Daphnia pulex: one gene and its partner. The protein of the gene in region 1 purifies or fractionates together with the protein of each later gene. This does not show direct contact. Links are inferred from orthologs where the notes say so. Each region holds a gene or a part of one and is shown on either strand. Other genes may lie near its edges. The genes, in order: derlin-2-like and FAS-associated factor 2-like.

The links.
Region 2: the proteins of derlin-2-like (region 1) and FAS-associated factor 2-like purify together in Homo sapiens (affinity purification with mass spectrometry; 5 studies listed by BioGRID and IntAct, counting the BioPlex papers as one, with this or other methods). This does not show direct contact. The link is inferred for Daphnia pulex from reciprocal best matches to the Homo sapiens genes DERL2 and FAF2.

Annotation. Positions count from the first base shown.
Region 1 is NC_060027.1:834,100-840,678, forward strand, and holds derlin-2-like, read left to right. Parts: upstream 1-2,600; 5' UTR 2,601-2,745; intron 2,746-2,808; exon of another isoform or gene 2,809-2,837; 5' UTR 2,838-2,947; coding exon 2,948-3,040; intron 3,041-3,103; coding exon 3,104-3,169; intron 3,170-3,227; coding exon 3,228-3,395; intron 3,396-3,465; coding exon 3,466-3,588; intron 3,589-3,676; coding exon 3,677-3,840; intron 3,841-3,925; coding exon 3,926-4,073; 3' UTR 4,074-4,760; downstream 4,761-6,579. Other genes in the region: high-affinity choline transporter 1-like, read right to left, coding at 27-306, 365-513, 583-750, 825-935, 1,024-1,222; transmembrane protein 17B-like, read left to right, coding at 5,650-5,761, 5,850-5,953, 6,024-6,335.
Region 2 is NC_060019.1:5,815,281-5,821,755, forward strand, and holds FAS-associated factor 2-like, read left to right. Parts: upstream 1-3,810; 5' UTR 3,811-4,035; coding exon 4,036-4,095; intron 4,096-4,176; coding exon 4,177-4,594; intron 4,595-4,657; coding exon 4,658-5,018; intron 5,019-5,089; coding exon 5,090-5,357; intron 5,358-5,416; coding exon 5,417-5,563; intron 5,564-5,643; coding exon 5,644-5,817; 3' UTR 5,818-5,960; downstream 5,961-6,475. Other genes in the region: ATP-dependent RNA helicase vasa-like, read left to right, coding at 1-327, 392-472, 529-606, 663-734, 790-861, 921-989, 1,052-1,108, 1,168-1,344 and 7 more. UniProt on the Homo sapiens protein: Plays an important role in endoplasmic reticulum-associated degradation (ERAD) that mediates ubiquitin-dependent degradation of misfolded endoplasmic reticulum proteins.

The DNA of each region.
Region 1 (6,579 bases):
AAGAAATCACAAGAGGGTAAATTTACCAACGACTCGGGCAACGGAACCTAAAACGGCAGGTGGGACGGCCAGGGTAAGGCATCCAAGAGCAGCAATGTAAGACAGGTACTGGGCCTGTCGAGGAGATCGACACGCCAAAACCCGCTGAAAATAAACTTGCCAAGGAATTCCGCCAAGGATGATGAGCAGATAAATGTCGACGTAGCTACCGACAGAGGACAGCGGAATTGTACCTAACCAATCAACCTCGCTCATAGCCTCGTGGTCAACGGCCGGATGAGTCCAGACAAACGGAATGCAGAATACCTATGATTGCAACGAGAAATTCAGTCAACTGAATGTTGGATTTGAAAAATGGAAATACCAGGCCAAAGAGAACACATCCCAGTTGAATGACGTCAGTATAGGCCACGCTGTAAAGGCCTCCAATCAAGGTGTAAGTAACAGCCACAGCAGCACTTATGATTATCGACAGAGTATTGTCCAGTCCCAGCATGACGGTGAAAATGGATCCTATTGCATAATGCTAAAATTAAAACATTTTGACAGCCAACATTTAAAAAAGTTTTTCTAATGCGTCACCAAGGGCCGACAGGATAGCAGCGGACCAGAATATCTCCCCGCACAGGGCCGGCAAAAACAATAGCCCACCAATACGTGAGCCGTATTTTTCCTGGAAGGGATCGAGCATGGTAACATATCCTCGACCTCCGTGGGCCATTCGCATGGGTTTAGCGAAAAACATTCCACCTTTTTATCCAAAGAATAAAAATGATGAAACATGATTTACTATAGACACACTAATGAGGCAAACACACACACACCAAGTAAGAGGCTCATGGAATATCCGATCGCCATTGTAGAGCATTTTAGAAAGCCACCAGTGAAGGCGCTTTCACAGGTGCCGTTGATGTAACCTCCTGCTACCCACGTCGCTGTCGTAGTTGTTGTTGTTTAAACCTGCTTGTTGGAAACCAAATCTACCCCTCTTGTATACTGAATCGGGACAACACTCATCGTTACCCGTCATCGTCAGGACTCCGACGAACAATCCCATATCACGTCCGGCCAGCATTATGTTCTCCGACAGGTTAGCACCGCTTTCCATCCGCTGTAGCTGTTTAAATTTCCTCTTTTCCTTCCATCCTACCCAAATTCCAACGGCCAGGATCAAACAGTAGAAGAAAGCCACAGAGATGACGCCACCGATATTCACGTTCATCTGTAAACAAAAAACTGGACAAGCCAAAGTGATAAATTGTCACAAGGTCAACTGAAAAGGTAAAACCGAAATATAGGGATAATAACAAAAGGCTACGACGACGATATCTTACGTTTGACGGCGTCGCTATAACTTATCACTCGGCCAGTCTAGTCAGACAGCAAAAACCGATTGGAGAGCCAGGCGTAGGTGCGACTGCAGCCGATGTTCCTCACTCTATATGACTGCGCACGTGCGGCGGATGTTCAGCGTCGCGACGATATGGTTGAAAATGATACACATCTGTCACGTGATCTTTTGGTCGTCAAACGAGACACTAGATTGTCTTCTAGTAGTCACGGCGATGATGAGGCAAGAGAGTAATGTCTGCCCAGTTTCCTTTACTCAATTTCTTGCACTAGAGTTTTTGGTAGCAACGACCGTTGATTGGCGTACCTCTCTCGTCTAGATTTCGTGCTCCTATAAAAGTAAAAACAATTCAAGATTTTACTGCAAAACGCAACAGTTGTGTAGTGAATTTTTGCATTGGGGGAGAGACGACGTGGTATAACGGGAAGTGTACTAGAGACTCAATAAAAGTGGCCTTTGGAAGAGTTAGAGGGAGAAATGAGGGTATCCCAAAAATAGAATTACAGAAGGTATGCATCTTGCTGGCCTTGTTCCAGTATACATTAATGGCTCTGCCAGAAACAAAAAAGCCTTTCAGCATCTCAAATCATTACACAACTTACTAGCTGTAGTAGAATTTACAGATAAAATAATGAAAGCTACTGCTATGTAATTTTCTATCTTATGAGAGAGCCAATTCCTTTCTTTGTATTCTTTATTACCTAATCTGTTCCTAGAAATTGATACATGAATTGTGGTCGGTCAACATGTACCAGGCTATAGTAAAAAGAAAACACACTCATCGAATAATTATGTAAGAGTAAAATACTTGTTTTGTGATGTGAAGATGGTTGCTCAATCACCTATCCCAGCATGAACTGTTACTCAAGTTGCATATATCCTTTCACATTAAGAAGAATTTAGAGTTTCACAAAAGTCAATAACCGTGGAAATTGTAGCCAACCATTTTTCAAACCAAATATACGAACTACGACACTCGACCATGTGTTTTTGTTTTATCTGCAAGACTGCACTGAATGCACCTACTTCCAGTTTCATCATCTCCCTCCCAATAATAAATAAAGTAGAAGATGGATGATTTATCGCCAAGACCCGAAATGAAAAATAAAAACTAGGGGTTACGTCAACAAATTCAATTTAGTCAAAATAAACTGAGGTTCCAACGGTTCAAATCACTCGAATCTTGGATGGAATAATAATCAAAAAGTTGTCTGCTACATCAAAAGAGGCGCCATTTACACCGTTGCAATAGCAACCAAAAATTGATCTTTGGAATTCCCTTTTTTTGACATTTCCGTTTCTGCTGTAGCCTCTACAAATTGTCCACGTCGACCAAGGGGGGTTTGTTAAAAGAAAAAATAAACAAACCAATTTGACTCTTGGGAAAAACGATGGTTGGTAGTGTTTCGCGAAATCCTTACATTTTTGGATAAATCGTTTCTTGATTGTATTTCTAGGTATTCATAAATTGTTTTTCTTATTTGAGGTTCGTGTTTGAGCTGGTCATAGTCCTTTGTATACAATAACAGTATACAATTTAAGTGATAAAACATCATCTTAGTTGACTGTTGATGAAATCAATTACAAGAAAGCACCATGGCTTACCACACATTACGCCAAGAGTATATGTTGATGCCTCCAGTAACTCGGGCATACACCACTGTTTGCTTGCTCACTTCAATTGCAGTGGTAAGTAACACTCGAAACTTTGAAAGGGACTCAGTAATCGACTGCAAAACATTTCCTTTTCAGCAACTGGATGTGGTGTCACCTTTTCAACTGTATTTCAATCCTTTGCTCATCACTCAAAAGTTTGAGGTAATAGGATTGGTTTGCTTTTGTATGGTAGCCAAATCATGTAATCTTGTATTTGCAGATATGGAGGCTACTGACTCCATTCTTCTTTTTTGGGACATTCAGCTTCAATTTTCTGTTCAACATGATTTTTACCTATCGCTATTGTAGAATGTTGGAGGAGGGTTCATTCAGAGGTAGAACAGCTGATTTTGTTTACATGTTCATATTTGGCTGCATCACAACAGTGGTAATTATGAAAATTTGCATGAATTCCTGTTTCAAGTTTTTTTAACTATTTGCTTTTCTCATGTTTTTAGATATGTGCTTGGTTTGTAAATTTATTGTTCCTTGGACATTCGCTCACCACGATGTTCGTCTATATTTGGGCTCGGAGAAATCCTTACGTTAGGATGAATTTCTTCGGCCTTCTACCTTTTCGAGTAAATAGGACAAAGCAACTGCAAAATTCAAAACACCCTGTGCGAAAATTAACCGATAATTTTTTTCTCTATCCTGACATTTTTATAGGCCCCATATTTGCCTTGGGTTCTCGTGGCTTTTTCAGTTCTTTTAGGCAATAGCGTATTGGTGGACATTCTCGGGATCGCCATCGGTCACTTGTATTTCTTCCTGGAAGATGTGTTTCCTAATCAGCCTGGAGGCAGAAGACTCTTGGCCACGCCTCGTTTACTGTATGCAACAATTTGGCATTCTCGAAAAGAAAAACATCAAAGATCGGTCAAGGGGTTCACGGTTTCTTTTCTTTTCCCCCCCTAGGAAACTTTTGTTCGACACGCACACTGAAGACCCTCTTTACAATCCGGCTCCTGACGAGCGTCCTGGGGGTTTCGATTGGGGCGGTGCTGGTGCTCCGGGAGTGGCAGACGCAGTCGCCGACCAGCCGAGAGAAAACGAAAATCAGTGAGGAAAAGAAAGAAAAAAAAGAGAAACAAACACAATCGTCTTTTTGAAAAATTACTAAATGGCAAAAGAAAATACATGGAAATTTGTTTAATATACAGTTGTCGATGTTCGCCCTCATTATTCCTTCTACACAGTGGCCCGGTTTTCTTTCGCTTACCAATGACCGACTAGCATTGACATACTGCTTTGTTGCAACGTTTACAAATATCCAGCGCTTTCCCCTTTCTCCTTTTATGGCCATCTTTTAACCGTGTCAAGTTTACACGCAATCAACCGTACTCGTAGTGTCCATAGTGCAGTTCTTCGCCCATCCAACTCGAACATTTTGGGAACACACAATCAAAATCGGAGCGCACTAGATAATGAATTAATATTCTATTGATGTGAATAAACAAGACTATTCCCTTTTTCGCTAGCTCAGAGATGAAGGGGAGGCGGACCGACCATAAGTCAATCTGAGATAACCGATTGCGAATTCTAGTGAAAAGGTTCTTTGAACGTCCAAGTTTGCACCGAGCGCACAGCGATTTTGTTTCAAGCCAACAAATAGGAAGGAGCAGTTGTCAACCTTGAAAATGATACATTCCCATCTGAAGCATAAATGTCCAAAAAACTCGATTGCATTACGACGCCTTGTTTGTAGTGAATGCGCCAAAGATTTCCAAATACACAACTTGAAGGTCGCAAATCTGTCAAACTAACAAGACTTGCTATTTGTTTGGAGTCATTTGATTTTCTAATCCTGACCTGCTACAGAGATGATGCTGCATTGGGAAAGGCTTATGCTACAGCGAGTTCACTGCCCTGATCACACACGCAGTCCTCAATTTTGTTTTGTTTCTTCAAGGATCTTTTGAACTGCTTAAAGATGTTTAGTCCACCAGATAGTGGAAGCAGATACTGGAGTTGGGAATGTTATAGTCTAGAATTGAAGAGATAAGTAGAAATCAAACCTGCACGATGACGAAAGAAATCAAATAAATTTAGTTGAAATTGACTCTTGTATACATAAATCTAATTAAGAAACAGACAACTTAGGCATTATTTTTTCTTTCCTTCTCCTCAAGTAGTCTGAGATATTCCCGTTCCTCTTTCTCCTTCATTTGGCGAATGGTGTCCTCAAACATCTTTTTGTTCACCCTGCTTTCGGCAGGGTACATTTCTCTCCTCAGATTGATCATCCAATCTTCAAAATACTCTGCCTGGTTAAAGTAATAGAAACAACCAACTGGGAAAATCATGTACATCCCCATTTTGGCTGCTTCCAGTTGCCAGTTTCCCATGTTTGGATTGTGAAACCTGGACAAGAAAGATGAAAAATAATTTTCCAGCCATCGATCCTACAAGTTTTTTCACAGCTTACTTGCTCTAATATAATCGCCAAGTATTTTATTCACAAAACAAGTTTGTACGTGTACCACACAGCACATGTAATACTGTGACGGGAGAAAGTCACGAATGAAAACAGCTGAGTTGTTCTGCTAGAGTCGTTGCCATGGCGCCCAGTTTGAAATGCCCAAAACAATCGGCTGTCATTTCGTTCATAGCCAAAAGCCATCGTCGAAAGCGATGAAATAATGGGAAGACAATCAGTTCAAAATGTTGTGGATTCTTTCAGCGATAGAATATTTCCAGGTCTGTCGGATATACCTCAAGATTTCTCATTCGTATCGGGTCAAAGTGACATAGGTAACTTCAATTCTTCTCAAATCATTCAAGTTCTATCTATTGCGTCTCGTACTTTATGCTAAACGTTTGATTGTTTTATGGAGCAAAGTTTATGATGTCCAATCAAGTTTGGTACTGCAAATGTCACTATACTTCAACTTGGTCTACTACCCAGTGTGGCTGGCGATCATCCTGGCATCATTTGTGGCAAAGGTATTTACATAATACGAAGAAAAAGTCATTGTCTTACATTTCACTCATCATCTCTTGCTACATTTGGCAGCACCAATGTTTTGGCTGGTTCTCGTATCTCCTTCTTGGAATTGGAGTCTCTGCCTGCTGTGTGACGGAAGCCACCAGGATCTACTTGGGCATGTCTGGCAACCTGAGCGAGCAAGTGGCAGAGCTGTCCACCTTCTGGTTCACCACACTCCTGGTCCAGCTGCCACTTGTGACAATCATCCTGATCGTGGCACTCAGCCTGAGCCAGATCCTGGAGATTGTCGCCTTGTCCATCTCCAGTCTCCTGATGGCAGTCCAGCTGTGTGTCTCGTTCGCCACACTTCGTAACGTGGCCCGCCTTCGCCAATTTTAGAAACCTTGAGCCAGGCGAGAGAGAAACTATACCTCTACGTCTCTCTCTCTCTCTCTCTTACTTTAATTTCCACCTCGTGTCGACAGGTTTTTCTTTCGTTATAAAAGCGCATCAGGGTTCTGTGTGAGACGACGAAAAAGAATCAGATAGACAGAGAGAGAGATGAAAATGAAAATGAAAAAGAGAGAGAGAGAACTCTTTTGGTAGTATCTATATGCACGCGAACCGCTCGCTGGAATTTTGT
Region 2 (6,475 bases), on another chromosome or scaffold:
CCACCTGCTGGTAGAGGAAGAGGAGCACCTACGACAGTTAGCCAGATGAGCACTGTTAGGGCAGCCTCTGATGATGAATGGGGAGCTGCAGCGAATCCTGCTTCTAGCTCGAATGGATTGGATGCTCCAGGAAAGTCCACTGGAAATTCTAATGGTTGGGGTGCTTCAACTGCTCCTGCCAGCTCTGGTCGCTGGGATGCACCCACTCAAAACTCTCAATTCAATAATGATGTGGAAGACCAGCCACGAGGTGGTGGATTTGGAAGCTCTGCAGGTGGAGGTGGATACAAAGGTGCTGGAGGAGGAGGCAGTCGTGCTTGCTACAAGGTAAATGATAAAGCACATGAATTCTGGAATGTTCAAAAGTAATCGTTTAAATTTTTAAATATAGTGTGGAGAAGAAGGACATATGTCTAGAGAATGCCCTAATCCAAATAGTGGTGGTGGAGGTGGAGATCGCACATGTAATAAGGTAGGCAAAGGTTACTATTTTTGGTCAATCAAATATTGTATTCAAGTTTCTTTCAGTGTCAACAGCCTGGACACATGGCAAGGGATTGCCCAACAGGAGGTGGTGGTGGAGGTGGAGATGGTACATGTCGTAAGGTATGAAAGGGTTATAATTTTTTTTATTTCAAATATTATATTGAATTTGCTTTCAGTGTCAACAGCCTGGACACATGGCAAGGGATTGCCCATCGGGAGGTGGAGGTGGAGATGGTGCATGTCATAAGGTAATCAAGTGCTATTATTATCTGGTATCAAATATTAAATTCAAGTTTCTTTCAGTGTAAAGAAACTGGACACATGGCAAGGGATTGCCCAACGGGAGGTGGCGGTGGGCCTCGTACGTGTAACAAGGTAAATCTCAACGATAACTACAACTCAGTTTTCTTTTAATTATTAATTGAATTAAATAGTGTGGAGATGCTGGACACATCGCAAGGGAATGCCCATCAGGTGGTGGTGGAGATACCAAATGCTTCAAGGTATATTTCATAAGTAATATGTATTGCTAAATTTTTATATGAATTCATGTTTTATTAAATAGTGTAAAGAGGAAGGACACATGTCAAAGGATTGCACAGTGGAAAGCAAGTGCAACAATGTATGTAAAACATTATTAATCATTAGAACAGTACAACTAATTAATTTAATTTTCTTTAGTGCTACAAACTTGGTCATAGTACAAAAGAATGCCCGGACGAATATAATTCCCTAACTGAGGATGGAAAACCACGCGAGAAATATACACCGCCAGATATGACTACCGATGAAAATGAATTGTTCAAGGGGATTTCATCCGGAGAACACTTCCACAACTTTGATAAAGTTGCTCTTCAGGTTGGACACAAGAACTATTTTCCGATTTATCTAGGTCTACTTAGTTATTTTAACACATTTTGTGTTAGGTGACCGGACAAAATATACCACAGTACATTACGTCTTTCGAAGAAGCTGGCTTGCGTCCATTGTTGCTGCAGAACATAAAGAATTCAGGATATGTTAAACCTACCCCCGTTCAGAAGGGGTCAATTGCAGTTATCTTGGCTAAAAGAGATTTGATTGCCAGTGCGGTCACTGGATCTGGAAAAACGGTAATTATTATTCGTTACAGTAATTCACAACCTTTTTGCTTTCAATTCAAAGAGTTGGGACGAATGGGTAGATAAAGGGAAAAACAAACATAAGTGGGCACGTCGGTGATAGTGGCTTGCAATGGCAGTGTTGCATCTAAGATACTCAACAACATTAAAGTTCATTCATTAATCGATGTATTCATCTTTAGGCTGCATACTTGGTTCCGGTGATGAATATTTTGTTAGAGCAAGGAATTGCTGGTGGCTCTCACGGCATGGTTCAGAAGCCTGAAGTTGTGATCCTTGCACCCACTCGCGAGTTGGCCATTCAAATTCACCGCGAAGCCTACAAATTTGCATACAATTCTGTGTTGAAGTCTGTGATAATCTACGGTGGAACTGTTTCTAGTAATCAAAGAAGTAATCTTCAAGCTGGCTGCAACATTCTTGTGGCAACGACCGGTCGACTTAAGGATTTTCTTGACCGTGGTGTGTTCGACTTTTCCGCTGTAAAGTTTTTGATTTTGGACGAAGCGGATCGTATGCTCGACATGGGATTTGGACCCGATATTGAAAAAATTGCTGCTCATCCAACCATGCCCCCAAAAGTGAGTCTGGTTTGATATCTGTTAAACAAATAATCCTAATTTTCTGCCTCATATAGGGAATTCGTCGCACTTGCATGTTTTCAGCCACTTTTCCAGAGGAAGTCCAAGCATTGGCTGCCAATTACATGGAGGATTACATTTTCGTGACTACAGGAACTGTGGGCGGAACTAATCCCGACGTCCAGCAAACGTTTTACGAATGTGCGCGCAATGAAAAGAGGACCAAATTGATAGAAATCCTTCGTGAATTGGGAGAAGCTAGGACTATTGTGTTTGTCGACAGCAAGAAAACGGCAGATTTCGTTGCTGTATTTTTGTGCAACAGCGATATCCAGGTAGAACATATTCGTATATTGTATTGAATATTTTTATTAAGTTTTCGTATAGGCTACGAGTATCCACGGTGACCGTCTTCAGAGTCAACGCGAAACAGCACTTCGTGAATTCAGGACTGGTATACGTAATGTTCTGGTTGCCACTAATGTCGCTGCACGTGGATTAGGTATATTTCTTTCTGTTTAAAATGTGAATTATGTTAAATCAAATTTTTCTAGATATTGAGGGCGTCAAGTACGTTATTAATTACGACCTTCCTGGTGATATTGAGGAATATGTGCATCGCATTGGTCGAACTGGTCGTGTGGGTAATGTTGGACAATCGATTAGTTTCTTTGATGTAGAGAAAGATGGTCCTAACGCGGGCAAGCTAGTTTCATTGCTTTCAAAGGTAAAGAGATAAAATGGTTTTGAAGTGTTATAGGTTTTTTCATGGAATATTATTTTAGTCCAATGCTGATGTCCCTGCATTCTTGCAAGCGTTGGTGTCCGGAATGGGTGGAATGGGTCTTGATTACAATGCACCTTCGACTCAGGGTGGTTTCGCTAGTCGTGACATGCGTCGGGTGAGTTAAATTTTCGATTGTAAACATTCTGGTGGTGTTTTTTGTTATATTGTTTTTTTTTTTTTTTATATTCAGTTTGGTGATAAACCTGTAGGAGGTGGCGGAGCTGAACGTCCAACCGAAGCTGAGGAGAGCTGGGACTAACGAACTTTCAACGGCGCCTCTTCATTATTCTAAATTTTTGTTTAACGTTTGGAGTTCTCCAAATTAAAAAAAGAAAAGAAATCTCATCCAAGAAAATCTTGGAATTCCCTTACTAAGAATCAATTTGTCGCAATGTTATTATGTGTTTATTTTTCTAACCCAGATTACGAATACAGAACAAATTTCCTTTGTTAAATTTTTTTCTATAAAAAACTTACTTACTCCTAAGCTTATTTGTTTTTCAATTGTTATTGCTGTGAAAGACTAAACTATAGTAGGGGAGGAAATTTTGATGAAATCGACTTGTTTTATTTGAATCTTTAAATTATAAAACTAACTTAAAAGTACCATGCTCACTTGGTATGCATGCAACTTTCAATTTTGCAAAGGCGTGTATGCAAATTAACCTGGAGTACATGAAAAGTAATAATCGCTTACTATTGCGCAATTATCAAATGTAGCCAAAAATTCGCGATCTCCACGAATTTGGGGTGATGAAGATCGCATGTAGTGTAAAATCAGATGAATTGAGGGTTTTACGATACTTTCTTATCAACAGGAAACTGATCTCAGATTTTACACGGACACGGAGATGTTCAAAGTAACTCCCCGCGAGCAGGACAAGGAGTTGAGTTGATAAAAGTTTTTGAGTGCAGCCTAGCGGCCAAGATAGGAACCCAGGAAATATTATTCATCTTCAGTTCTTCACCGATGGTTGCTAGAAAAGTCTACTGATTAAAAGACACAATAAAAGAAGAAGCTAGGCAACTGTAGTTCCCAAAGTTGTTACAATAAATTGTAATGGATCTTGAAGATCGTGAACTCAGTCCTCAAAATACAGAGAAGCTAGTCCAATTTCAGGTAAGAAATCGACTTATTCATGTATATATTCGTCATAAAATGTTGAAAGTAAAAGTGTTAAGTAAATGTCTCTTTATAAAGGAGTTGTCTGGAATCGATGATCTGGACAAATGTATGGAGATTTTAGAGAGGCACAACTGGGATGTAGAGACAGCCATACATGATCATCTTGGTCTAGATCCCAGAGAAATGGCTCAACCTGCCAGGGAAATGCCTGTATTTCCTCTACAAAATGGACAACCTACTGTCCACAGACCTCTCCCACAGAACCCACCTAGAACACAACCTGTCGACTCAGTTATTCAAAGGATAATGACTTACTTCTTCAACCCCTTCCTTGATGACAACACAGGCCTTTTTCCATTGCCAAACCAAAGGCCTGATGGGTTTACAGGATGGCTGTTTTTCCTCTCATCTCTTCCATTAAGAGTTGTGATGGTTACATTTTATCATTTAACCCGTTTTGTCTTCAGGATCATCAGACCAGAAAACCGACCAGGTATTTAAATCTCTACTTTCCTTCAAAATTTCCTTTCTAATTGTGTTTCTGTTAATCCAATAGCTGTCACAGATCCAACAGGAAATGTCATTTCCTTCATTCACGAGTATAATGAAACATTTGGAGATCAACACCCAACTTTCTATCCTGGAACCTACAGTCAGGTTCTCAATGAAGCTAAAAAAGATCTTAAATTTTTGTTGGCATACCTCCACTGTAAAGACCACCAAGACACAAATAAGTTTTGCCGTCAGACGCTCTGCAACCCTCAAGTCATAGAGTTCATTAATAGCAATTGCTTAATGTGGGCGTGCAGTGTAAATAGTTTGGAAGGCTACCGTGTCTCGCAAGCGCTTCGAGAGAATACTTACCCATTTTTGGCCATTATTGTTCAGAGGGAATTCCGTATGACCGTCGTTGGGAGGTACACGGGAAAAATTTCTGTTGCAATATTGAAATCGATTTTTAACGATCTTTTCATGATTTCATTTGCAGAATTGAAGGATTTATTGAACCAGATGCCCTAGTTCAACGTTTACGAACCACAATTTCAGATAATGAAGCTTTTCTAGTGGCCGCAAGGGCAGACCGTGAAGAACGTAGTTTTAACCAAGCTCTAAGGTTAGAGCAAGATGAAGCTTATCTCGAATCGTTACGAGCTGATCAAGAGAAGGAAGAGAAAAAGAGACGTGATCGTTTGCTTGAAGAAGAACGTCTTAGGGAGATTAGAGAGATGGAACTAGCCGAAGAACGAAAGAAAGAGGTAAGGACGACAAGTATATCGCTATCCAATCCGGATTTAATTTTACCCACCCTTTGTAGGAAATGATCCGGAGGAAGCAAGAAGCAATTAACTTGATACCGCCAGAACCCGCTGCCGACGAATCCGGAATTTGCCGTATTCTGATCCGATTACCTAGAGGGCAGAAACTAGAACGGCGCTTCCATCGAACAATCCACACACTCAAAGTAATTTTTTCTCATGGCCATTTCAAACCTTAAATCCATGACCATATAAAATTTTTTATCTGCTAATTATTTCGCAATAGGATCTGTACTATTTTATTTTGGCTCATCCCGATTCTCCATATCAATTTGAAATGGCTACTTCTTTCCCTAAGCGAACGTTACCATGGCAGCCCGACATGGATACTTACCCGACGTTGGCAGAAGTAGGTCTTGGAGCCTCTGAAGCTCTTCTCGTCTTGGACTTGGATGCTTGATCAGTAGAGTTAAAAAATAATGTGTTTACAAAAACCTTTACCTACTCTTGCCCCCAAATTTTTCTTCAATTTCACATTGACCCGGTATTAAACCGCCATAAAAGTATCATGATCATAAAGAAAGAATAAAGAATTTCCATATATATTTTCTGTTATTTCCTTAATTTTGACCCGAAAGCCAGAAAAACCGGCAAAACAGCACAGAGCGACACCTGACAAGCCCCGGCTATTTTGTTAGCTATTGAATAAATTTTGCATATAAATGTCTAGGAAAAAAGGAATTTTGAACAAAAGAATCAAGAAGCTTTAGTGGAAATGAGGAAAGGGGAGCGGTTGAAACCGAACCAATCAAGAACAAAATAATTGGGTAAAAAAAATCAAATTCAAGGAAAACACTGGGGGGGAGGGGAGATGTGGGGTGTATGGGAGTGTAGAGGTTAAGGGCCCTACTAGAAATGAACATAAAATGTCTTCATTAATTTTCCTCTTCTCTGGAAAGTTTTGGTTTCACAAGGACAACACACGCACGGAACAATAATTTATGATCGGGAAAAATAATAATAAAAAAAAAAAAAATAGGAGAAATGAAAAAAAAAAAAAACAACGAAGAGCTGTCTTTACTACAGACCAGGAAAAATCCCAGAGATTCTCGGAGAAT